Bombyx mori: one gene and its partners. The protein of the gene in region 4 binds, or shares a complex with, the protein of the main gene of each other region. Links are inferred from orthologs where the notes say so. Each region holds a gene or a part of one and is shown on either strand. Other genes may lie near its edges. The genes, in order: syntaxin 5A, syntaxin-18, vesicle-associated membrane protein 7-like and syntaxin-7.

Region 1 (6,620 bases), on a different chromosome or scaffold from region 4:
AATTTTGAATTTCATGATTTGATATACAGTAACATACATAAAATATAAATCTTGTAGGGCAATTTTTGTTTGTATTGGTATCATTACCTCTATGACCTAACTTCATTTTAGAGAACAATTTCTTTGTACCTAGTTTATAGCAAATGTAGCGTTTCTTTTACATCTTATTAAAAAAAAATGTTTATTTAACATTTTATAAAAGCAATAAATGAAAAGAATATAACACTTCATATTGGACTTATGCCTGAATCATTTAAAATACTTACACAAGGCTAACTTTTCCAATTTGGTATATGTACTAGTAATATTCTTACTAATTACTTTTGCCATACTCATGAATTGGGAGTAAGTTTCCAACACAGCAGCTTTTCTATCATCTCTTACGGTTGGTTTGTTTAAGAAACGTCCTTGGAGACTGCGTACAGTTGAAATGAATTCACTTGTTCTATCTCTTGAAGCCATAACTGGTTCAAAAACAAATTCTTCTAAAAATTTAAACACGTCCTGGTCAGATGATTTAAGAATCAATGTTGATTTGGAATTTGATGAGTTCTCGTAAGGCCGCGATTCCCCGTAATGAACACCTTTCTTATCTAATTTATTGTATGAATCCGTTTCTGTTTCCAAGAGTCTTTCTGTAACGCCTATATTTCGCCTTCGAGGAAGCATCGCATTGTAGTCTTCAGTCTTCACCTATAAAGTTTTACAGAAAAAACGTTGTCAACTTTGTTTGATAAGTAAATTACATTAAGTCAAACAGTACTGTTACACCACACATATGCTTTACTTGTTAATGATTGGGGATATTTTGTTTGAAAATGAAAACTTACAATTTACATAATTGAGGCAGTATTTCACAATTTTACATTCCAATACTTACTTAGAAAACCAATAGCGTTCAAATAATTACGTACTTTCATAGTACATTCATGTGTGTACAATATTTATCATTTCATCTCATCGATTCTTTTCAAAACTCGATGATATATCTATCTTTTAAATTATCAAGTCCCACTATTCCATTTTTTAGATAAGGTATGTAGGTACCTACCCACAATCCTTTATTTTTAATCACTCGATAGATTCCAGACACGTAGTCATAGATAATACACTTAACACGTAGGGGTAGTCATAGACTATTCTGGCTTAGTTTGTCCATTACTCACTCTGTCACTCACATGCGCACGAATACGCAAACCCGCAAGTGTAGGACGACATTTGCGAATGATTATGCAAAGTTTTCGCTGCATTCGTGGTTTTCCAAGCTGTGTCGGTTTTTTAACAGACATCAAAGCGCGCGAACCTCGAACCTTCGCGTAGTCTCCCACACATTCGCTTGCCCAGTTGCGCCGACGATTGCGAAGGTAACGCCGTTTTCATAGTTCGTGACGTCTACTGTGTAGCGTATCTTCATCAAAAGAAATCCCATAAAAACAGCATGGCTGTTAATCATGTCTGGGAAAGAATTCAAAAATCTTTTTCTTTTCAATGTTCTATTGACGAATTAAAAAGGAGGAGAAATTCGTGAGACATTCGTAAACAAGTGTAGGAGGAAGCGCAAACGGGTTCGCAAATTGAGTATGCGAACCCATTTGCACAGCCGCTAGGTTTGCGAATGAATGTTTGACGGCCCTTTACATGCGCGCAAACATTCGTACAATGTACGAATATTTGCGCGCATGTCAGTGGCCGGCATTAATACAATTAATTTTTTTTTTATCTCAGATCTACTTTTTTTACTCTTTGGGTTACAGTCCTGTTTCATTTTCATCTTTTTATGGATTTTAGTTTCTCTTCATGCCAACAAATTGTTGCCGTAAAAATTCTATAGAAATAAAATAATAATTTCATCTGTCATTTGAAACATATTCAACAAAATTTTCACAATACAAACATCTGGAACAGCCATTTCAATGTAATCTCAAAAAGCATATTAATTTAACTGTTGTACCACTTCGTTAGAATTGATGTGGGTATACCTAGTTGTTTGTCTTAGCAATTTTTGGCAGACTAATGACAATGTGTTTATGTTTCTATAGAGAAGGTCGATCTCTTCACTTCCAACTATTTAAATTAAATGACGAAGAAGTGACACCAACGAACATGTGTGTGTGTATCAAAAGATTATATCGTGTGATGATCAATGGGTCGTTTTTAAATTTGGGGCCAAAAGCGAGTTATTTAATTCTCATAATAACCTTAATGTTACCGTAATTATATGTTCAGTAAATTTGTTGTCATAACAGGCGCGTGGTCCTATAACTATACACCACTATTTTTAAATTAGTACAAAAAAATTAACTGGGCTCTAAGTATCTTTAACTAATCATATTATATGGTAGTTAAAAATAAAAAAAACACGAAGTCTCAGAACTGTCCATAAAAATACGTAATAATTGGTAAATGCTAAATAACTAAATCAATGACCGAAAGTACGTGCGGCAGGGTTTTAGTATCTACGGGGCGCTGCTCCATTGATAAATTCCAGGAAACTCAAGTCAACTCAACTCAACAATAACGACAAAAACCTAAACACTACTAAATTGTTAGCGGAAGTGTGCGCATGCTTTTTTTCGTTGCAACAGTTGTTTGTTTAAGTTTTCCCTGATGCGATGGCTTATCAGTTCACATCACGGGAGTATGTAGCTATGCTTCGTGGGTACTTTTTGAGTGGAGAAAATGCGAGTGCAGCTGTACGTATGTACAGGGAAGAATACCCGAACGCGAGTGCAGCTGTACGTATGTACAGGGAAGAGTACCCGAACGCCCGACAGCCAAATGTGCGAACCGTGGTAAATGCTTACCAGCATTTGCTTGATCACGGTTCATTCCACGCACCGTCACATAGTCAAGAACGAGGAAGACTGGCGTTGTGACAAAATCTGTACGACGATGTACTAGCGTATTTTGAAGAGGATCCCCGACGGAGTACAAATGACACTGCTCGACGGTTTAACAACAGCCAGTCCTGTGCCTGGAAGATTGTTAATAAGGCCGGATTATATCCATATCACTACAGGAAATCTCAGGAATTAACCACCGTTGATTATGTAGCGAGGATTTCATTTTGCATCAGGATACTGAACAATACCGAAGCAAATGTATTATTTTCTGCATTGGGCCTGTAGCTTGGCCTCCACGCTCACCTGACCTCACGCCCATGGACTTCTTTTGTGGAGTGAAATTAAGAGATGTGTGTACAGAAGCGAGCCGGTTAGGCTCGCACAATTAAAACAGCGCATATTGGACGCTTTTGACGAAGTGAAAAGACATAGAAGCGCACTTCTCTCGTTAAAAACGAGTTAATGAAACTTGCCCGTCAATGTATTGACAATGGTGGTGGACATGTCGAAGGACAATTGAATATACAAGTATTCATGATGAGATGATATGGGATGAAATATAATCTCAGTAAAATGGTGGTTATTTACTGAAATTTTTTTAGTGGACTTTTTGGAGGATCCCGATAAGTTACGTCCAGCGGCTTTGTTTCATTTTACCACATTTGTGCACTTTCACAGATATTAAACAGTTAATAAACCACCGTTATTACACATTTAAACCTGAAGAAACACTAAATAGACAAAATAAAACAAATCACACAACTTCACTCCTCACGTTCCCCCCAAAAAGTCGCTGTCATTTTTTTTTCTCTTTTTTTAGGTATTTTATGACCTGGTAGCTAAGACTTTTAAGTCATGTCTTATTTTAATTTATACTCTTATTTTTATGAAAAATTATGAAATGAAATGAAGATGATTAATTTGAGACATTAATCAACTGGGATGAAATCAAATGAAATGAAATGAGATGATATGGGATGAAATATAATCTCAGTAAATTGGTGGTCATTTACTGAGACTTTTTCGTTGGACTTTTTGGAGGATCCCGAGAAGTGACGTCCGGCGGCTTTGTTTCATTTTCCCACATTTGTGCACTTTCACAGATACTAAACAGTTAATAAACCACCATTATTACACATTTAAACCTGAAGAAACACCAAATAGACAAAATAAAACAAATCACACAACTTCACTCCTCCGTTCCCGCCAAAAAGTCGCTGTCATTTTTGTTTTTTTTTTTAATTTTATGACGTGGTGACAGAGACCTTTAGGTCATATCTTATTTGGAAAATGTTCATTAGTTTGGGGCTGTCATTTATAGTTCACTTTTATCATAGATTATCATAGACCTATATAGTAGGGACACGACATATTGTACTATACGTACAATTGCTTATATAAATAGCACCCATTTTGAAGGCACACACATAAACATATATCTATCTCGTTCTTACTCAGCACTTTAACTCGCAGGAAAATAATATAACAGTATTTCAGTGCGTACATAAAATGAAACATGAATATACGTAAATGTCTAATGAGGCCGAAAATCCGCCATGTTGAGCGCTCCAAATGTCATTGTCACGTCAGTTCGGCCGTCTGTTTTGGGTTGCGATTTAATATGATTGCTTATATAAAATTTCATATTTTATCATGCTTAAAACATACAAAAATAATAATTAAAACGTATTTTATAGGATCTCAAGAAAGTCGATGCCCCAAAACTATTATCTATATATATTTAAATTCATTACGGAGCCCTCATCCGAAAAATCATTTTTCGGTCGGAATCTATTGATCATGACACTAATTATAAATACCTCTTTAAAATATGTCATCAAAACATATTATTGACATTCTGTTTAGATATTTCGGGAAAAAGGCTACCGACAAAATCTCTTCGGAACTATTTAAATAAAATAGTTTTATGCCGCAGTGAATAAAACACTATTGTAAATTCGGTAAATATTTAATAATTAAGTGATTTTAGAGAGGAAGTCACAAGGAATGACGTTTGTAATTAATGAATAAATGTTCTGTATAGTGGGATTTTTTATTAGACGAAGTAAACTGACGTTTACTGTGTTGTCAGGTTTTGATGAAATAAAAATAGTGTTGTGACAAAGTGAACGATTGAAAAAACTCCTGAATTAATGAAATTGCCTCGATTGTCTAATGAATAGTAGGTGTGCCGAATTGCCGATATCGGGTACGGGGTTCGTATTTTATGCGTGCTTTGTACATACCAACGAGTTTTCGACGAAATATTATGTTCCTATAGTATCTACCTGTACTGAATACCGAGTGTTTTAAACATTATGAAAAACATTGCGAGGAAGCTTGTAAAACTGTCCTATTTCCAATACATCAGATAGTTGAAATTATAGATGTATAAAATATAACAATTATAGGTATGTAACGAAAATAAAAAAAAGTGTGTGTGTCCGCTCCGACGCACGACTGGAGTTTACTGGATATAAATATAAATTTGTGTCAGTTGAATACAGTAAAATATGGAAGTTACGTATTCTAGTGAGAATGATCCGGGAGTTGCGGAACACGTGGATGCGGTAATTAAGTAAGTCTATATAATTCACTTTTACAATTAATATATAAGTTGTCCATTCACTGATAGAAGGAATTGTTTATATTTAATAAGCTTTATTAATAAATGATTTGTAGCGGGTTATATTCGGGTATCAACCCACTAACAGTTGATACGTTCAGGAATCGAACCCGAACGGCGTCCGGCCACAAGCAAAACGATGTCGGTAAATTAAACGAAACAATACGAGAAATAGTTCTATATTACGACAACACGATACACTACAGATTATTAACAAATTAACGAGACACAAAACAAACGACTAACAAATATATGAAAATACAATAATGAGAGAAACGCGCGATCAGTACGAGGCTTTGTGGCGGACTGCCGGCGCAGCAGCCCGGCGTCACCTGCGATAACGCGGCCGCGCGTTGGCTCCTGATTGGCCAATCAGGAGCCAATCAGGCGCATAACGCATTTCGTGTGACATGCTATACTCTCTAGTACGATTTTGGTCCCCATAATTTTCATACCCCGGGCCTATATATGTAAATCGATTCTTAAGGAGTAAACTCCAAAATACTGATTGTAGTTACATACTACTAGTAACATATATTGGAGCACTTTAATACAATTTTATTGTAAAATATAAATAATATTCTTTTATAGTTTGAAATTAATGATTAATTCTTCACACTCATTGTTCATTCATGTGATTGAACGAGAACTAAACGCATCACTATTACTTTAAATATAGCAACATTATTTCACAAAGTGACATTAGCTACTGTCAGCTGGCTTCGTCTAATTAAAAATCCGACTATAGGTGTTTTTTTTTTCACGCGGTCCTACGATAAGTTTAAAATTTGAATCACTCTCACGTGAAAGTGATTCAAATGGTGCGGCGCACCTTCCTTGAGGTGCGCTGCGGTAGTGTGTTACGGACTTTAGGTCAGCAAAACAATTAAAATAGATTGTAATAGTCTAAGAAAAACACGTACTCAAAATACGATAACATTTAGCATGCTAGAAATGGGCAGATGGCACTGTACTACGCCATATCTTTATGTTTTGCGACAAACGACAACTTTATAAAATCAGTGTAGCAACTTTTAAAAATCATCATATCGTTTACTTGGCAAATTCGAAGGACGAACTTGTCTTAGATTTCACACATCTAAATCATATCATATTTGCACATAACAATATACCTACTTACTTCCCATTAA
Region 2 (6,059 bases), on a different chromosome or scaffold from region 4:
AATATTCGTTTTAATCCATATTTAGTATTTCATCAAAGTATTTAAAAACAGAATCCATACACATGTATGATGTCATTTCATGTTTCTCATGACCTGCAAACAAAGTTTTCTTATATATTTGACACAACACAAATGCAGAGTTTCAGTGGTTTAAGTCAACCTTTACCAATGGTTGCTTCAATGTTACTATTGCAGCACTTAATAGTAAGCTTTTAGCTGAACCAGTGATTAATGCTCAGTGTTACTCATGGACAAAGGCAGTGCAAAGATTTGGATAAGTATGTAATTATAATCTAGAAAATAAGTTCATAGAAGAAAGAATAGCCATAGTCTATTCCCCTTAAAAACACAAATAATTTGATTTTATGAATGCAATATTTATACCTGCTGAAAGTCTGGTTATATCGAAATCAGGAGTTCTGAGAGGTGTATCCAGCGGTGTCTGACTAGATATCCAATTCTTTGTAACCTGTAATATCGAGAAACCAATTAGGAAAAGTTAAATTTCAACTGTGCATGCCTCCAGTTACATTCTTACCTGTTTCAAAAAGTTTGTAAGCTTCTTATTAGAATAGGAATGTACAGAGTCAGTAAAAGCAATGGCCTTTACTCTGTCTTCAAAGTCATTTTGCACCTCTTCTGCCAGAGAAACCGTGACAACCCCACCATAACTATGTGCTACAATGAGTATGGAACTTGCATTCGCATTGGATATGTAGTTCAGCCATGCGTAAAGGGCATGTTCCTCAGCGGTGCTACTGTTGAGAATGGTCTTTCCATCTGCTGTGTGATTGTCATTTGTATTTAGTACCACTACTCCATAGTCTTTGGCCAAAGCCTTCTTGATATACGGAATCTGAGATCCTTTGTCCAACGATTCATTGATTATGAGGCTGTGACAAAAATTACATTTCAGAACAAATATACTGCAGGCCTAATTACGTGACCTACTTTAAAACAAGACATGGGGAAAACAAAAAATATGCATTGATTACGTACATATTAATACATAGATGAATAGAGTATTGCCATTGTGAAAGAAGAACAGAAGGGTAATACCATCATTGTACCAACCAAGGATAATGAACAGAATCAGGAATTGAGCCACCATTATATACATATTTCTATATTAATTTTATGATTCAGTACTAAGAAGAAGTTTCATGTTATATATCCAAAGTTATTAAAGTACTACTCAAAAATGGCTTTGCTTGTCTAAATTCAAAATAACATTTGCATTTTGAATTTTATCTCATCATCAATATTATTTATTTTTAATTTTAAACATACTTGAAACCAAAATTTAGTAATTAAGTCATGATACTAACGATCTAGCCCACTGACCAGCTCGCACAACGCCTGATCCGTGAATCAATATTAACAGAACATCTTTTTTATCATAATCTTTTGAAACAAAAATAAATGTTCCATCATTTGAATCCTTTGGGATTGGTAACTTTTGCAATCCAATCTGAGTCTGAAGAATATCATAAACATAATTGGTGATTGCTGAGCCAAGTTCTTCATAATGAGCTTGGCATTCCTGGTGATCATTGCTCACAACAAATTGGAATGGTTCATCTGTTGGCTGTCCATCAGCTCCAATTTTTCTTACTTGACCATCTGTTTGGTAGTAAAAGCATTAAGTATCATATTATTGTTAATTTAAAAGTGAAACTAGAAAATAGTGTAGCATTTAATATCTACAAGTAATACCCTAACAACATATATTAATTGCCTTGGTATGAACATATGGATCTAATGGAAAGTGGTTATCACCACCCTTAAGCGTTGGCACTAAGAGGGTCTCGTGCATACACTTAACTGTACCTGTTTTCAAGTTATTTCTGAAATTTCTTATTGTTCCTATTCATAAGTGGAGGCACTAATTAAATGATATAAAAAATTTAGAATGTTACTTGAATCAAATATGTATCCCAGTTCCTTCATAGTTTTCGTTCCCTCCATTTTGTAATGCACTTTATTAGCACTAGATGCAATCGACTTTCTGTGAGGTCGCAGTCGTACTTTTGATATCGACGTGCGTACTGCGCGAATTACATTCATGAACTGCAACAGAGAGGGTGGTAAGTACGCATCCTGCAGTATTGATCACCTCAGGGAAACACATTGATATATGTTTTATTACAGCTGAATTTATATGCATCTAGGTCTTGAAACTGAAAAATAAACAATCCCCAGGTCCCGGGGTTGGAACTTGACAGTTTGGACTTTGACGTTTAAATAGATAGTCCAAGAGAAAATAGCACATACAGCCAAGTTAGTCGACTGGTAAAAAACCGAAGTTATATTTGTAACTAAATTAATAAAATAGTGGTATTTTTAAAATAATATAGATGGTACAACGTTAATTAACAGCATTTTCTCATGTTATCAACTAAGATTCATATAAGTTAAAGTTAGTAGCATAAGTATAATAGTTAGTTAGTATATGTATAGTTGTATTTTAAACAACTAAAAAAATGTTTGGCTAAAGTATAGATCGAAACTCTAGCAATAATAGTGTATATTTTATATAACCGATAGTGAAATATTTGCGTATTCACATAAAAAAACATAAGAAGCCTCTGATAAAACGTGTTTATTTAAAGCGAAAATATTAACATCATTGATTCCAAAATTTCAATTAAGATCATTTTATTATCATCAAAACTGTTCCTTTTTTTTGTAAAATTATCATTATTTAGAAAATGAAACACAAAACCACCAGTAACTACTAAATTTAATCATTATACCAATCTAGGAACAGCAAACTGAACGACATGACCAGTAAGAAGAACAGAACATATACTCTTAGGCCTGCGTTTCTTTGTATAGCTTGCTTAATCTGTTCATTGGCATCCTTAACGTTTTCAGTTGCCCCGACAACTGTATTCGATATTCTATCTATGTCTTGTTCTTGTTGTAAAACCTGAAACATATTTACACTTTTTACATTTTATGTCAGACAAACTGTTTGTATATCTCATTATTAAAAGCTACCTGCCTACCGCTACTGTTAATTATACTTTTACAAACAGTAATATCAATTTGAATCTAAATAAATCAATTAAAGTATCATGGATTTGAAAAATTTATTTACATCCAATAGTTTACGTATGAAAGAACATCCAAATATGAATATTTTAAGATCAAGATAGTTATGATATGTATGTACCAGTATGTGCAATTTTATAAAGATATAATACACAGACTATAATAAACAACATTCATCCTCTCTGGTGGCAGATATTCTTAACCGCTACTGTTAATTATACTTTTACAAACAGTAATATCAATTTGAATCTAAATAAATCAATTAAAGTATCATGGATTTGAAAAATTTATTTACATCCAATAGTTTACGTATGAAAGAACATCCAAATATGAATATTTTAAGATCAAGATAGTTATGATATGTATGTACCAGTATGTGCAATTTTATAAAGATATAATACACAGACTATAATAAACAACATTCATCCTCTCTGGTGGCAGATATTCTTTTCTTGTAATCTGTTTTTTTTTTTAAATGGCTTATGTATTTATTCAATTTTAACCTTTTACCTTTTCAGTAAATATTTCTTGAAGTTCTGCAATGTGTAGTACTTTGCTTTCAATTTGTTTAACTTCTTCCGTCATACTGTTTAGTTCATTTAACAGCTGTACATTCTCCGACTCAAACATTTGCAACTCTTCTGAAGTCAACTCTCCTTCATCAGACATAATTGCCATCTCATTCTCTGATAAGTCTAATTTTGTTTTTGTATTTTCTTTTTCATCTTCTGTCTCATTCTCTTTTTCTATTACCTTATCTAGTGTAAACGGATTAGGAATACTAGATTTGGTCGCTGGTAGCTCAAGTCTAGACAATTTTCTCATATCTAAAGCTCGCTTAACTCTCATTGCTTTCAATTCACTATGCACTTTACAAACAGCTTTTAAATAAGCATCAATTAAATCTACGACTGAGTCCATATATTCCCTAGTTTGTGGGGTCACTGTAGTTCTTCGATTATCATTCCTGAACTCTTTTAGCAGGTGTGAGCATGTGTTCATGATACGTTGCGCACCGGTGTCTATTTGGTCGCGCTCTTCATCAGACATATCGTCTCCAGTAACATTATTGAAGAAGCTTAAATATTTATCGCGGTGTTCCAATAAAAAGTCCCTAAGCTTTGTAATTTGTGAACAAATATCCTTAGCTGTTGCCATGAAAGCATTTTTTGATTTCACCCTCAATATGCGTTGCTTATCTTCGCTAATCGGACTGTGTATGCCGAAAGCCTTGTTACGAGTTTTAACAGTTTTTATGCAAGCCTTAAATAATGGTGTTATATCCATTTTAAGAGGATTTGTTTATGTTTTAAATGTTTTTTCCTTCAATAACACGTAAGTTTTACTCGTTTTTGACAAATTGAATTGACAAATCAATAATGTCCTCACAGAGTAGACACTAACCAAATTCTCTTTTTAAAATTATCCAATTGAAAAGGCAAAGTAAGCATGGCTTTAAGTAGTAATAAATATTTTAATAGTAATAAATATTTTAATCTGTGATGGCTACATGGACTTTTTGGCGGGAACACGTGGAGTGAAGTTGTGTGATTTGTTTTATTTTGTCTATTTAGTGTTTCTTCATGTTAGAACTGGTCTTCTTGCCATCCAACCATCTAACCATCATAAGTTTATTAAGAAGAATAGTTGTTGCCTAGCATTAATTAGTTAGTCGTATAATTTTATGTGAAAAAATAAAAAGTCAGTATGTACATCCGAAGAAAGTTATCAGGTCATAAAATCCCTTAAAAAAATTATTATACACAATCTGATCTGAAGTCTTTTGCTCGTAAATTTACAGTAGCCGAAAGCATTTCAGATCGAATGGAGACGGAAGAGAGACAGAAATAAATGTTACACCACTCTATAAAGCTTCTGTCGCTTATACAGGGTGCCCTAAAAAATAGTGTCAAGCCGAAGTCCAGAGGTAGAACATCACTAGGGCTATCCGAACCACCCCCATGTACGTTCCGCGATTTTTAATAGTTTTCGAGTTATGATTTTTTAAATATATTTTTTTATTTCTATGTTAAGGCACTTTTTTGCTCACTGTGGCGAGAATAGATAAGGTACATGCCTGATATTTGAACACTTGCTTTTTTTTAAAACTCGGTTTCAAAGTTTAGAAAAAATACACAATTTTTAACTTTTTTGTTTCTTTTTTTTATTAGGTTTCACATTTGTGTTATAATGTATGACATATCAGCTATGAGAGCTTCGCTCAGAGCGTGGTGCAGCAGACACGATCAAATTTAGGTCTGTTAGAGAACTGTCTAAGCATGAAGATGCTTAGACAGTTCTCAGTTCAGTTGGGTGAATTGAATTTAATTCAGTTCAACTGTTGGAGTTTGAATATAAATGTAATGGCAGGCAGCACTTGACGCATGATTACAGATTTCGAATATTAGAATTATTTTAAACGTTTAAAAAACAGATGATTGTATTCTCGTAAGAAAAAGTCAATACTTCTAATCTAGACACGGTCAAAGAAACATGTAAGAAGTTTTATAAAAATATAAAGATAATAATTTTAAAATGGTGTTCAAACTATCTGCAATATAATTATAATGAAGCAGTGTGTTTTTAAATAGCCCTCCATCACCTACAGAACCCAATCACCTCAAATTTAACCATCCAACATCAACCCATTGAAGACAGAGATTTAAAAGATATATATACAAAGGCAATAAAAAAAAAAGATCCACTAACGGTGCTTTTAAGTAACCCAAGCACCGGTCATCATTCTTGGTGAACCCGACGCTCGCGACGAAGGGCTCGGCGAGTAAATTAACCCACAGACACAGCCCACTGAGTTTCTCGCCGGATCTTCTCAGTGGGTCGCGTTTTCGATCCCGTGGTAGATTCTGCGAAGCACGGCTCTTGCCAGGGTTCGTGTTAGCAACGTCTTCAGGTTTGAGCCCCGTGAGCTTAGGTGAGCTAGCCTGGTGACGCTGACATGGTCTCTCTCGACAATCAGCTAAGGTAGGAAAAACAAGTGGTGA
Region 3 (6,381 bases), on a different chromosome or scaffold from region 4:
ACAATTTTACATCAGAAAACAGTCAAGAAGCAGATGAGTTGGTACAATAGGCGGTCTTATCGCTAAAAGCAATCTCCTCCAGACAACCGTTTAATTACCCGAAATTCTGCACAGCAGATATATTGCGGTGTACTATTAACAACACATTATTAAAGAAAATACATCCATACAATAAATATATATGTATAACGTGTAACCGTTACAGAATATGAAATTATGAAACATGACACAAAACATATGACATATTTTATTTACAAAAACAACTTTAAAAATACACCCTGCCGCTTATTGACGTAAATATCTATTTGTAAAAAGGAATCAAAACGAAATTACATACGAAGTTCATAACTGAATGTTATATAGAAGATTATTTATTTAATTTTACTAAATAAATTCAAGCATACGTTTCGGAACGAAAACAACTCAATGAGACCGCGAAAGTAAATTATCTTAATGTCGTCAATTTCTCCTTAATTCGAATGAGTTTTATTTTTGGATACGTATAGTGATCTAATGAATGTAAATACTATAATTACTGTGGCCGTGACACAAGATATCGGCCCGAAAACGTAAACAGAAGATCCCACAATAATCATAAATATTCCTATGAAAATAAAATTGAAACGTTGTTTATCTTGTACAGATATAGATATTTGTTCTGGAGCTCTACCCACGTACGAAATCGTCTGTAACAAAATAGTATGTGTTATTTATATAATACAATATTACTATAAACTTGTGTGCTGTCGCTTAAATAAACTCGCATGCCATAGTTGATCGATTCACTTTACTGATGGTATGACCTCTTGAGAGTCCGTACGAGTAGATACCACCACACTGCCTATTTCTGCCGTGAAGCAGTAATGCGTTTCGGTATGAAGGGTGGGGCAGCCGTTGTAACTATACTGAGACCTTAGAACTTAAATCTCAAGGTGGGTGGCGCATTTACGTTGTAGATGTCTATAGGCTCTAGTAACCACTTAACACCAGGTGGGCTATGAGCTCGTCCACCCATCTAAGCAATAAAAAAATAAAAAACTTGATTTGGTAATAGATTTTGTTTATACGAGTCATCTATTATCAAAGGTGGCAATCTGTGCATTTGGACAAAAAAATGTTATTGATATGTCAATACAGATTGATTTGAATATAATCGTCTCCTTCAAAGAATACGGTTCAAAACCTGCTTAAATAAAGGTTAATACTTAACCTGTTATTTATCTAAGATGTCGTGCAGAAGAGTTTTGTGACTGCCAATGGAATACAAAGTCAATAATTCGTTTTTCTGATTTACCAATAATTGTCCAAAAGTCACATTGCCGGCTTTGATAATAGTCGACTCATACATACTATTTAATAGGTATTCTGTGAATTTTTTTCCATTTAAAATGTTGAAACTGATAGTCTTTTTTTCCGCCGCATTCATACATCCGGCAGAGACATTTATAACGAGCGAAACTAAATAAAATCAAAATTAAAGGCAACCCCGTATTTCTCCCGCGGAGCAGTAAGGATCCCCGTTTGAAGGGTGGTCCTTGTTATACTGTAGAACAGAGTTAGAAATCATGTCTCGAGACAATGGCATTTACGTTATTCATGCTTATGAGAGAAATAGCTAATGACTATATTTTGTAGGCTTAATGTCTTATGTAAACTTACACTGTACGATAAACTATCGATGCTATCAACTAAAAGCATTTTCTCGCCGAGAATTGTTTCTGAAAAGAAAAAAAAACTAATTTAAAATTAAATGTAGTTTAAGAACCCGTACGTTCAATTACAAACCGTACCAACAAATAATTTTATCTTTATTTTGTACCTTTTTTGAATACCGGTCAGGATTTCAGAGCGATTAGAGCAATTAAAATTATTGTTTAGCTAACGGTCCTTCATTCGTGTACAAACTTTCTGATTAGTGGTCGGTACGTCTTAAAATCGATGCAAATCACATTATAAAGAAGACATACAAACATACATACGTATAATTGGAATTTAATTGTTATTATAAAAAAAATATAGACACATTTTTTAGATATTGCTGCTTTCATCGACCTCGCCATGTTGCCATTTTGTTTTATTATTATTTCTCTCTTTCTTACAAATTTCTCTCACTCACACCTTAACACTCCGTTCCACGCTCTTTCCATACGTTCCGTTCTCAACCATCCTACATATTTACCAAACTATTTAATAAATAACTAAAAATTTATTGACACATTTTTTACACATCGCTCACTTCATCGTCCTCGCGGTCTTGCTTTTTTTATTATTATTTCTCTCTATTTCTCACAAATTTCTCTCACTCACACCTTAACACTCCGTTCCACGCTCTTTCCATAGGTTCCGTTCTTAACCATCCTACATATTTACAAAGCTGTTTAATAAAAAATGTTTAAAAAAACTTACCACTCCTTTCAACGCTGATCCTGTTCAATTCATCCAGTTCGCCATTTCTTATAACTATAGTACTGTAATCTTCATTGTATCGGTACATTTCCTCTGCCAGTATATGTTCGAAATTTTTTACGTATTCAGCAAATCGTCTCTGGATTTGATTTAAGAATAAAAATGCCCTTGATCTCTGACAGCTCTGTTAAGAAAATACATTTGATTTGAAGACTATAGAAAAAATATTTACATAATTCTGACTTAAGCTAACATAAGGGAACTTTATGCGAATAACGACGTGTGCTTCTCTCATATTTAACAGAAAATCTTTACACAATCTTGCACATACAGAAATATGTAAATAAAGTTTCTTCAATTTTCAACTGACGTATATGTTTAGTTTCAATATTCAACCTATTTAATAAGTGGCAATCGTTCGTCCAAATTTTCTCTGTGCTATGTGTTCAGAAGATATATGGGACAACAATAAGTGCACCAGATCGAATAACTAATATCTTTAAGAAATTTATTGACGAGAACGAAATAAAAAAAAAACAAGTTTTAAACACCGGCCACAATAAAAATGAGATATTTTCGTTTTATACTATTCGTTTTTTTTTCTACCTATTCTAGTAACCTCGAGGGGCTATTCTAGATTCAGTAAGTGAGCTCACGGGGCTCAACCGGAAGTGTTGCTAACACTGGCCCTAGCAAGAGCAGTGCTTCGCAGAATCTACCACCGGATCGGAAACGCGACCCACTGAGAAGATCCGGCGAGAAACTCAGTGGGCTGTGTCTGTGGGTTAATTTACTCGTCGAGCCCTTCGTCGCAAGCGACGGGTTCGGCGAGGACGGTGACCGGTGCTTGAGGTACCTAAAAGCACCGTTAATGGATCGGGAGGATCCGTAATGACGTGTTTTGAGCAATTCGAATGTATTGGACGACATTATCAATGAACTTTCAGAACAATATTTATATTCTATTTTTTCATGTATGTTTTTTAACTTGTAAGAAGTCCTTTTCAAACGAAATCGTAACTTACCTTTTCTGTAATACAAAGAAATATATTTTTCTTGTGAACAACATAGTGAATCAAATATTTTCCGTGAAGGTACGTCATCTTGTGATCATGTACCGGTATTTTTGAGACCATTCGTTCGGATATCTCCACGAAGTTACCATCGCAGGTTGCGAATTTCGAAACGACTCGTTTATCACACGCTATCACACTGAATAATATAGGCATTATAAATATGACTACAAATTATTATCACTGTTCACACCATTTGACGCTTTCACTATTATTATCAGTTTCAATAATTTTTTTGAAGAATATTGTTTAACTGCTGCATTACAAGAGTACAAACCGCAACTATACGATGTGGCGTCCTCTCGATCCGCCCACGGTTTAAAGATTTTGAATGTCCAAACGCAATGCGTTAAGGATGTCATTCGTTTTTTGACGGAAATAAAACAGATCTAGTCACATTAGCCAGTGTTCTCTGTATTTTGTTTAACCGATGCGATATCAAGACTCTGGTAACCTTTTGTTACCAAATGGACCGACGTGTGCGCAAAAATGTTCATTATAAAACAGATTTGTTTAATCTGTGCATGCATTATTCTTCAAATTTAATTCAACAAAATATTCATTGGTTTTGTTTAAAGAAAAAACCCAGTAATACAAGACTTGTATTTGTTTGTGTCTAAAAATATAAGAGGAATTATCTTAAAAACTGAAAATTTGGTCTTGTTGCTATGACAAGAGTCCGCGATATCTATATATTAATACGTGAAGCAAAAACTTTGTATCCCTTTTTACGAAAATTGCGCGGACGGAGGAGTATGAAATTTTCCACACTTATAGAGAATATAGAGAAGAAGTGCACAATGCTAATATTTTTTTAAAATAATGCATAAAAGATACATTAAATCAATAAAGAAAACATTACACACACTACATACCATGTATTTGACGCACACACGCATGCATACTATTTATTGTCCAACTTTTGTTCTTGACCTCTGTTGTCAGATTGAGAATAGATTAAATATTGTTAGTCTTTGTTAATATTTTTTATAGTGTAGTCTTGGCGAAATTTGTGACTATAGAAGTATAAAATACAATAATAATAGTGTACAAACTTACAATTCCAATTAATTATAGTCGAATTTCGACTACTGCGGGACCTCTAGTATTAATAAAATCACTTGCTTACAGTAAGTCGGTTAAGTGTAGTATATTCTATGCCAATAAGACAATAACTGTGGCCAACATTTAGTATGCTGCTGCCAGATGTTGATAGAATTAGGGGACGCGATACTAAATCTACTTATGAAGGAAAAATGTTTCCTTTATTAAAAATAATGGAATGAAATCTTCCTCGAAGCAACATATACTACAACAACGCGAACAATAAAACACACATTAATAATTTATTAAGCTAAGCTTATCTACATTGGCGGATTTTTTAATTTATAACATTCTTTCGTGACATTCGTATACCAAAAACAACTGAAAAAAAATCAAAATAATCATGTTATTATGAATCACCAGTATCACTTTTGTTTTTCATCTTCAAGAACAAACAAACACCTCCTTTTTACCATAAGGATATGGATTGTTACCGATATTTTTACATACCTACTTGATGCTTGTGGGTTACAGAAAAAAAAAAACGAGAAAATCGAACGTTTGACAACCCTGCATTGAAAAATTCAGTATCGCACAAATATCACACGATCGTTCTAAAATAAATTTCCGTGTCGGCCGAAGCTAAAATCGTTTCGTGCTCGCTAAAACTGTCACCGTACATAAATTGATCAGTTTTAAGAGACATGTGCAGACAAGCGTGCCACGCATGTGCTCAACTTGCTTCTTTGAGATAATTGAATATTATTTGCCTACGTACTCATACACTCCGAATTTTGAGCCAGGACGGAAATTTATCACCGTCCTGCCCAGTTTCACCGTGAAGTAAACCGTTCGTGTTTGAAGAATGAGACGGCCGTTTAACAAAACAACTCGTCCGGCAGTAAAGTGTAATAAAAACCATGAATTGCAACGAGTAATTTTGGTATTAATTCTAATAGGACGATAATCGGAAGGAATGGAGTGGTTTGAAAAAAAAATTGTTTAAACTACCATTGTCACAGTATAGGTATATTATAACAATACCTACATTTCTTTTTCTACAGATTCGCTCGCTGCGTATTTTGTCTCAAACATTTATCGCATACCGTATCCTCTACAAGGTAAACGCCTTCCGTCTTGAGACATAGATTGAATACGTTTGCAATCTAACATATACTACCACAAACTATTTTTTGCCGATTTACTTATCATCACTTTTTTTTTCTACCTATGCTGATAGCCTTAAGAGGCTATTTCAGCTTCGCCCTAACATGTAGGTGAGCTCACGGGGCTCAAACCGGAAGTGTTGCTAACACTGGCCCTAGCAAGAGCAGTGCTTCGCACAATCGGCTCGGAAACGCGACCCACTGTGAAGATCCGGCGAGAAACTCAGTGGGCTGTGTCTATGGGTTAATTCGCTCGTCGAGTCCTTATCGTCACCAGTTTCATATTGCGTATAGATAACATTGGTTCGACATTATGTCAAAACCTGTTTCGGGATTAACTTAAAATGTGTTTGCTGCTGGTTGGCAAAGTGAAGAAAATAGACAAACAGATATTTCTTAGATCTTTTTAATGTACTAAATCACGTGTTTGTTGCAATATATTTGTTGTGTTGAAACAGCCCGACTCATGAATCGATCTTCAACCATCATTACTCCATGATAACGCGAGACCTCATACAGCACGAGAAACCGTTTTAACTCTACAGGAACTGCAATTAGAAACCATTCGTCACCCTCCGTATTCGCCCAGACCTTGCTCCAACGGACTACAATTTTTTTCGTAATTTGGACAATTTTCTACGTGATAAAAAGTTATTCTAATATATATAAATAAATAAAGTTATTCCTATTAG
Region 4 (6,525 bases):
AATTTATGACAATTAAAAAAAATCGCTTTCTTAAAATAATAATAAAAATTTAAAAAACAATGTCTTACCATGTATGTAACTAGCTTCGATTCTTGTGGAAGCCCGTTAGGCGGTGCGTATGGTAGAAATATTGATGGATCCATAATTTCAAAACTGCAGTGCGTCTGTGCAGTCTGCTGCAAAGAAGAAAAAACATAGTCAATAAATCAATAAAAGTAGCGTAGGTACCTACTTCACAGTTTTGTTCCCAACTTATGTAGGTAGTAAGCACTTTAAAATTGACCTACCTTAATTTATGATTCTTTTCGATTCACAGTTATTCATGACAATGAGAGTACCCCAACATGTCGTTATTAAGGGTTCAATTTCAACCAGACATATTTGGAAAGCTAGAATACTATATTAAATACGTGATAGAAATCAAACCCTCAAAAATCTAAAAACTACGTATTTCATTGTCTCAAAAGACGGGGCTTAAAGGCAATCTTTATTGATTCATTCACACAAAACACTGGGGCAGCAATTTTAATACAAAATTCACGGACTCTCAGAGACGGGGACACGAAGACAATAGAGACATTAAACAGGAACAGGTAAGAGATGAGTCCTAATACGTCGGTGAAGGTAGTGTGTACCAGTGTACGTACACTACAGTGAAACAGTCTTCCATAGACTAAAAAACATTACCCATGTAAAATGTAAGTCAACATTATAGAATCTAGTACAATCCGGGGTGTGTGAATTCGTTAGCATAACAATTTAATGATTTTCGACTTATTCTGATAAATTTACCCGTATTGGAATGAATCTGTTGTTTATGTGCAGTAAAAGATAAGAAACTGAAAAATACATAATAAGGTTTTTGTTAATTAAGTTGGTCTGAATCATCAATTTCTTGCATTAATTATTACAAAATATTTTAGTTTTCAAATAAAGTTTTTATGATTAAAAATACATTATCTAGGGCCGGTTTAATTAAAACATCATGCTAAGAAAAGAGTTAGTTATTTTTATATTTCACCTTGTTAGGTATTGTTAAGATTATATTTAATCTCGCCTTTTTTCTAGTTTTCTCATAATAGGTTGAAACCGTGCTACCAAGATCTAATGGTCGATTTTATAGCCGCCACTCATGATAAAAGGAGTTATAGGTTATTATTTTCATTTGAAAGTTTTCATCATTATATGTATGGTTTTATTTTTATTTTTAAAATATAGTTGATTTTAAAATTTTACTAATTAAAATATAAAAAAAATACTGTAAAACATCCATTATCCACTTTTTAGAGCATGGCATTCCAGCCTTCTAAAAGGCTTGCTTCGAACTATCTTGTGAGACGATGAGTTTAGATGGGATAAAAAATGACCCAGAAGTGGCTTAGCGGGGAAATTAATGTAATTCTAAGTCATTCACTCCATTTCATGACAAAAAGAGCATGACCCATTTACGAAGCCTTCAATAGTCTCTTACACTATATGATGTAATGGAAAAGCTTGTAAGGCCATACCAACAATGAAGCATTTTCTATCTTTAAATGCGCGATTGTATCAGAGTCTATTAACTGCTATCAGTGAGCTTTTTATTTTTTGAACTAGTCTATGGGCCAATATGTGCTGGCGACCAGCAGATTCTTAGTAAAAACGTGTCAATGTCATTCTGCAACGATTAGGGAAGATACGTGAATACGGTAGTAGTACCCTAGCCAGTTTTTTGCTGAAGATGATATATAGTGGGAAAGAGAGAGCCCTACTATCTCTATACCGATCTGATGTTACTTAAAGAGAAGGCATACATTTTGTAATAATTTTTTTTCAGTTTAAGCATTTAATAAATAATAAAATAAGTTTTCAAAAAGTTCAAGTATCCAATAGGTTCAATTAAATTGAAAACAGTAATCACGTCAGTGAGAGCTTTGGGAAAATTAAACATAATTGCATTGGGTTTTTAAAAAAATGCATTGAACTGTTTACAAATGCCCACCACGTTGTTGAGAGTTAATTAATTTAATTTTATCCAACTATTGCTCTGATGTCTTATGTCATATAATTTCAGTCCATTTAAAATTTCACATAACAGACACGCCTTCCGTCCTTTTTACAAAAAAATATCTATGGGCTCTGTTTTCTTTGCCTTTCTACAGAACAAATCAAACAAACAACAATCTGTTTTGTCAACTGTCATTTTTGATGAGTAATTTTGAGCAAGCAGTAACTGCAGTCCTATGATCAGCTCTAAACTTATCTGTAGTAAATGAGTAGCATATTCTGCGTTTGATTGTTTTCTATCATAGCTCTGTAGTGTATGGGAAGAAGAATACAAACCATTATTTTAATTAACATAAAACTATACATACTCACCATCTCTTTCAATTTATAGTGGGTAGGTACATGATTAATAACACTATATTTTCACGTTTACTTTCATTGTATATCGATTATTTATTGTTTATTTCGTAGTGAAAATGGAGGCGTCTTATCAAGGAGGTGTGTCATACGATGAGAATGGAGATAACTTTCAACGACTTTCTCAAACTATCGCCAGTAATATTAAGAAAATATCCCAAAATGGTAAGTGTTATTTTGAATGCTGAAATGTGAGATTAACGTATGTGAATCTAAGCCTAATATTAGAGAGATACAAAATTACTAGGAAAAATCAAATCAATTAGAAATTTTACTGATTAGAATCGTTCTTACTAAAGTTTTTCTAACATGTGTTTCAATATTTAATGTTTTAAGTTCTAAGTTAGACTACAAAACCCATAGATAGCACTGAGAATGCTGCCACCTTCAGGCTCCTGGAGTCTCAAGTGTTTTGAATAATGTTGGCTGTCTCACCATTCACTCTGGAACTTGAGACTACTTTGAGGCTAAAAGAGACAGGATCTTTCTATCATGCTTTTTTTCTAAAATGTTGAATTCGCTCATCGCCAAGTGATCTCCTTGCTATCATTATATGCCCCACTCTTACTTTATTATACCAATTTTATTTGAGCTGTCAATATTCATCTGAAATAATAATAATAATAAGGATTAACTTTGTACAACTGACGACCGCCAGTCTGGCGTAGGATCTTTCTATCATGCTTTTTTTCTAAAATGTTGAATTCGCTCATCGCCAAGTGATCTCCTTGCTATCATTATATGCCCCACTCTTACTTTATTATACCAATTTTATTTGAGCTGTCAATATTCATCTGTAATAATAATAATAATAAGGATTAACTTTGTACAACTGACGACCGCCAGTCTGGCGTCCCGAGGGGGAGGGTGATGGGAGAGATGTGCTCCGCACTAAACGCTTCACTTTCCCCCCTTTGCCTTGTCATGAGTTCTGTCTCATGCGAGGTTTGGACATTGGTTGTTGAGCGACAGGAGGTTTTAGTCAGTTCGACTCTGACATACCCTGCTCAGTATCCCCAGAAAATGGTGGAAGTCTGGTGATTTCCTGCTGACCAAAAAAAAAAAATGTTTTGTTTAGATTTATTGACTAAATGGTGTCTTAAAATTATTTAACTTGAATAATGCATATACAGTCAAAACCGTTTACTGCGACATCGTTTAATACGACATGCCAGTTATAATAACCAAGAACAAAGGTCCCGGCTGAATGCCATATGACCGCCTTATTAAAAATATTGCTTTCTACGACATTGCTTATAACGACATACCTCATAAAACGACCACATTTAACTAATATTTCGGAGAATTAGATCTGTTAGAACGACCGACTAAGCTGTATTGTAAACAATTTGAATAGGTATCCACATTTGTCTTCAATGGCTATTAAAATCAGGAAAGAAAACAATAGGATTTAGTTTAGTGTAGGGTCTTTTCTAATTCTTAGAAACAAAACACGTGCATGCAGTAGAGTCAAAGCCCGCTTCTTCATATCGCTTCAGTTAGTTTGTTACTTATCTATACACAAGACGCACCAAAACTTTGTGGAGTTATTCGTGAAACTTTCAAAATGTCGCAAAGAAAAAGAAAACAAATTAATATTGAAGAAAAATCGCGTATTATGTAAATATATTTTTCCAATAATTCCCTATCGATTTGTTTGTACTTTCACGATACACATTATATACATCACCGGTTGTTACGACTATCGGTTTTTACGACTTAATATGAGCAGTCCCTTCGATGTCGTTATAACAGATTTTGACTGTAGTTGCTATTTGTAAGTAAACAAATATAAATATTAAGAAAAAAGTTTTATGAAGTTAGATAAAATATATTAAAATTAGGATAATGTTTGTCCTTAAACATATGCAAAGAAAAAATCAGTCTACATCAAAAGTAAAGTATGCTTTATTGTACACCAATATCTGAACTTTTACTACATACATAATTGTTATGTATGTAGCTATATGTAATAATAAAAATAAAATAACACATGCACATGTGTACCAATCATATAAAATAAATAAAGATACAAAACGTTAAACAAAAGAACAGTGGTGAAATCACAAAGAGAGGCCTCTTGAAAATAGCCAATATGTGAGCAAGAATTTTTGAATGAAAGGAATTTACTGAGGTGTACTTATCAAATAAAAAAGAAAAACAGAATAGTATTTTAGTATTTACAAAATTCATCATTAAAAATGCATTTTGATAGTTATGTTTATACCAAAGCATTTGAAGTCTTATGTTAGAGCACAGCATATGCCAGTTTGATTTGAACAATTCTTTATGCATTTTTTTTTCTACCTATGCTGATAGCCTTGAGAGGCTATTTCAGCTTCACCCTAACGTTTGTAGGTGAGCTCGCGGGGCTCAACCGGAGAGTTGCTAACACTGACCCTAGCAAGAGCAGTGCTTCGCAGAATCTACCACCGGATCGGAAACGCGACCCACTGAGAAGATCCAGCGAGAAACTCAGTGGGCTGTGTCTATGGGTTTTTTGCATTTTGTCATTCAGTTATTTATGAAGAATCTTAAATAATTAATAACTAACATAAGTACTTTTAATAAATTTCAATATATAAAATAATAAAGCCTTTTGTTCAGACAACAGATTTACAATTATCTTTCTTATACTACTGCACTTTTATGTATTTAACACAATTAAAATTATTCACATATTTGGTGCTTCTTTACTTTCTGTAAATCCATAGGCTGTTGGCAAAGGCCTCCTCCAACCTACTTTATACTGATCTCTTTTGATCTTGTGTAATTGTTTTAAAAATTTTGCAATTGTTTTCTTATGTGGTTGGAGGATTGTGCTCCTTTTCTCCTGCAAGGACTTGTGGCTTGCAGGAAATTGTGTTATTTCTTTTGTTTGGTTTTCATAATTTGGTTGGATTATCCGTTTGGCGGCTGTTATTGGTTTTTATGTGTGAGGATATGAGTGGGAGGGTTTGATCGGATTCTCATCAAATCGAAGGCGTTTGTCCTGTGTGTTGTGGTAGCAAAGGCTTTCTCTTTTATGTAACTTCCTAAGCTACCAATATATAGATTCATTTTAAGCTCTGTATATTTAGTTTACTTCCATAAATAAATTAAGGTCTCTTTTAAAGTACTCTTTAACAGTTTGAAATAGTTCTAACATGGATTTTTCGAAATTGTTAATATGAATTATGGCAATGACTTTGGGAAATTACTCTTTTAATACTCATGTACATAATATAATATATAATATAATATAACTACTTTAGTTGTAGACGTAGTAGTAAAGAACTAGAAACAATATTACAGTGGTCTCCACAAATAAACAAAACCCATAAAAACTTGCTAGAATGTGCTATTTTGCAATGTGAAATTTAATTAACAATAAATTGGCTTTAGAATAACATTACAAATTAAATTTTATTTATATTTTAATCCTAAGAAGTATATCGTATTTCACAATTCTTAATTTAGTAGTATATATAATATACGTATACATACATTAGAAAATGAAATAAATTGATTGTATAAGGAAAAAGCAAATGAGAAAAATAGCTAAAACTTTTCACTTACTACCTATATAATTACTGTTGTACATTTTCCTTGTACATAAATCATGTTTTTATGTAGTTGAACTTCATTAGTGCTTATCAGGACTGTTAATATGATGGCTCTGTTAATTGAAATGATTATAATAATGATAAGAAACATTAAAATTTAAAATTAAAATTTGCTAAGCTTTAAGTTTTTCAGTAATTTTCAAAACTAAAAATGTTCCCTGAAATCTGAACTATTATTTTATATAATACTAGCGACCCGCCCTCGCTTCGCTTCGGAAACATTAAAACACACATGAAACCTAAAAAAAAAAAAAAAATTAAAAAAGTAGCCTATGTTCATCAGGGACAATGTCGGCTTCTAATGGAAAAATAATTTTTCAAATCGGTCCAGTAGTTTCGGAGCCTATTCGAAACAAACAAACAAACCAATCTTTCCTCTTTATAATATTAGTATAGATTATATTTCTACTATCTAGTAAACAAAGGCAATCGTTTAAATACATTATCCATAAAATACATTATTCATAGGTAGATGAGCCCAGAAATCCAAAGGAATGCCACCATTCACAATAGGGCA

The links.
Region 1: syntaxin-7 (region 4) and syntaxin 5A share a complex: the UniProt entries of both Homo sapiens proteins name them as parts of the SNARE complex. The link is inferred for Bombyx mori from reciprocal best matches to the Homo sapiens genes STX7 and STX5.
Region 2: syntaxin-7 (region 4) and syntaxin-18 share a complex: the UniProt entries of both Homo sapiens proteins name them as parts of the SNARE complex. The link is inferred for Bombyx mori from reciprocal best matches to the Homo sapiens genes STX7 and STX18.
Region 3: syntaxin-7 (region 4) and vesicle-associated membrane protein 7-like share a complex: the UniProt entries of both Homo sapiens proteins name them as parts of the SNARE complex. The link is inferred for Bombyx mori from reciprocal best matches to the Homo sapiens genes STX7 and VAMP7.

Annotation. Positions count from the first base shown.
Region 1 is NC_085118.1:10,687,870-10,694,489, forward strand, and holds the start of syntaxin 5A, read right to left. Parts: upstream 3,631-6,620; 5' UTR 2,830-3,630; coding exon 2,805-2,829; intron 1,456-2,804; coding exon 1,304-1,455; intron 1,133-1,303; exon of another isoform or gene 921-1,132; coding exon of another isoform or gene 915-920; exon of another isoform or gene 881-914; intron 694-880; coding exon 267-693; intron 1-266. UniProt on the Homo sapiens protein: Mediates endoplasmic reticulum to Golgi transport.
Region 2 is NC_085127.1:13,547,709-13,553,767, forward strand, and holds syntaxin-18, read right to left. Parts: upstream 4,485-6,059; 5' UTR 4,345-4,484; coding exon 3,568-4,344; intron 2,933-3,567; coding exon 2,744-2,932; 3' UTR 2,726-2,743; downstream 1-2,725. Other genes in the region: cotranscriptional regulator FAM172A homolog, read right to left, coding at 11-93, 385-469, 539-893, 1,329-1,623, 1,920-2,070, 2,150-2,167. UniProt on the Homo sapiens protein: Syntaxin that may be involved in targeting and fusion of Golgi-derived retrograde transport vesicles with the ER.
Region 3 is NC_085119.1:6,314,197-6,320,577, forward strand, and holds the start of vesicle-associated membrane protein 7-like, read right to left. Parts: upstream 3,826-6,381; 5' UTR 3,636-3,825; coding exon 3,432-3,635; intron 2,591-3,431; coding exon 2,407-2,590; intron 1,719-2,406; coding exon 1,660-1,718; intron 687-1,659; coding exon 471-686; 3' UTR 1-470. UniProt on the Homo sapiens protein: Involved in the targeting and/or fusion of transport vesicles to their target membrane during transport of proteins from the early endosome to the lysosome. Required for heterotypic fusion of late endosomes with lysosomes and homotypic lysosomal fusion.
Region 4 is NC_085107.1:5,738,308-5,744,832, forward strand, and holds the start of syntaxin-7, read left to right. Parts: upstream 1-2,179; 5' UTR 2,180-2,380; intron 2,381-2,457; 5' UTR 2,458-2,462; coding exon 2,463-2,568; intron 2,569-6,525. Other genes in the region: PAN2-PAN3 deadenylation complex subunit PAN3, read right to left, coding at 69-143. UniProt on the Homo sapiens protein: May be involved in protein trafficking from the plasma membrane to the early endosome (EE) as well as in homotypic fusion of endocytic organelles. Mediates the endocytic trafficking from early endosomes to late endosomes and lysosomes.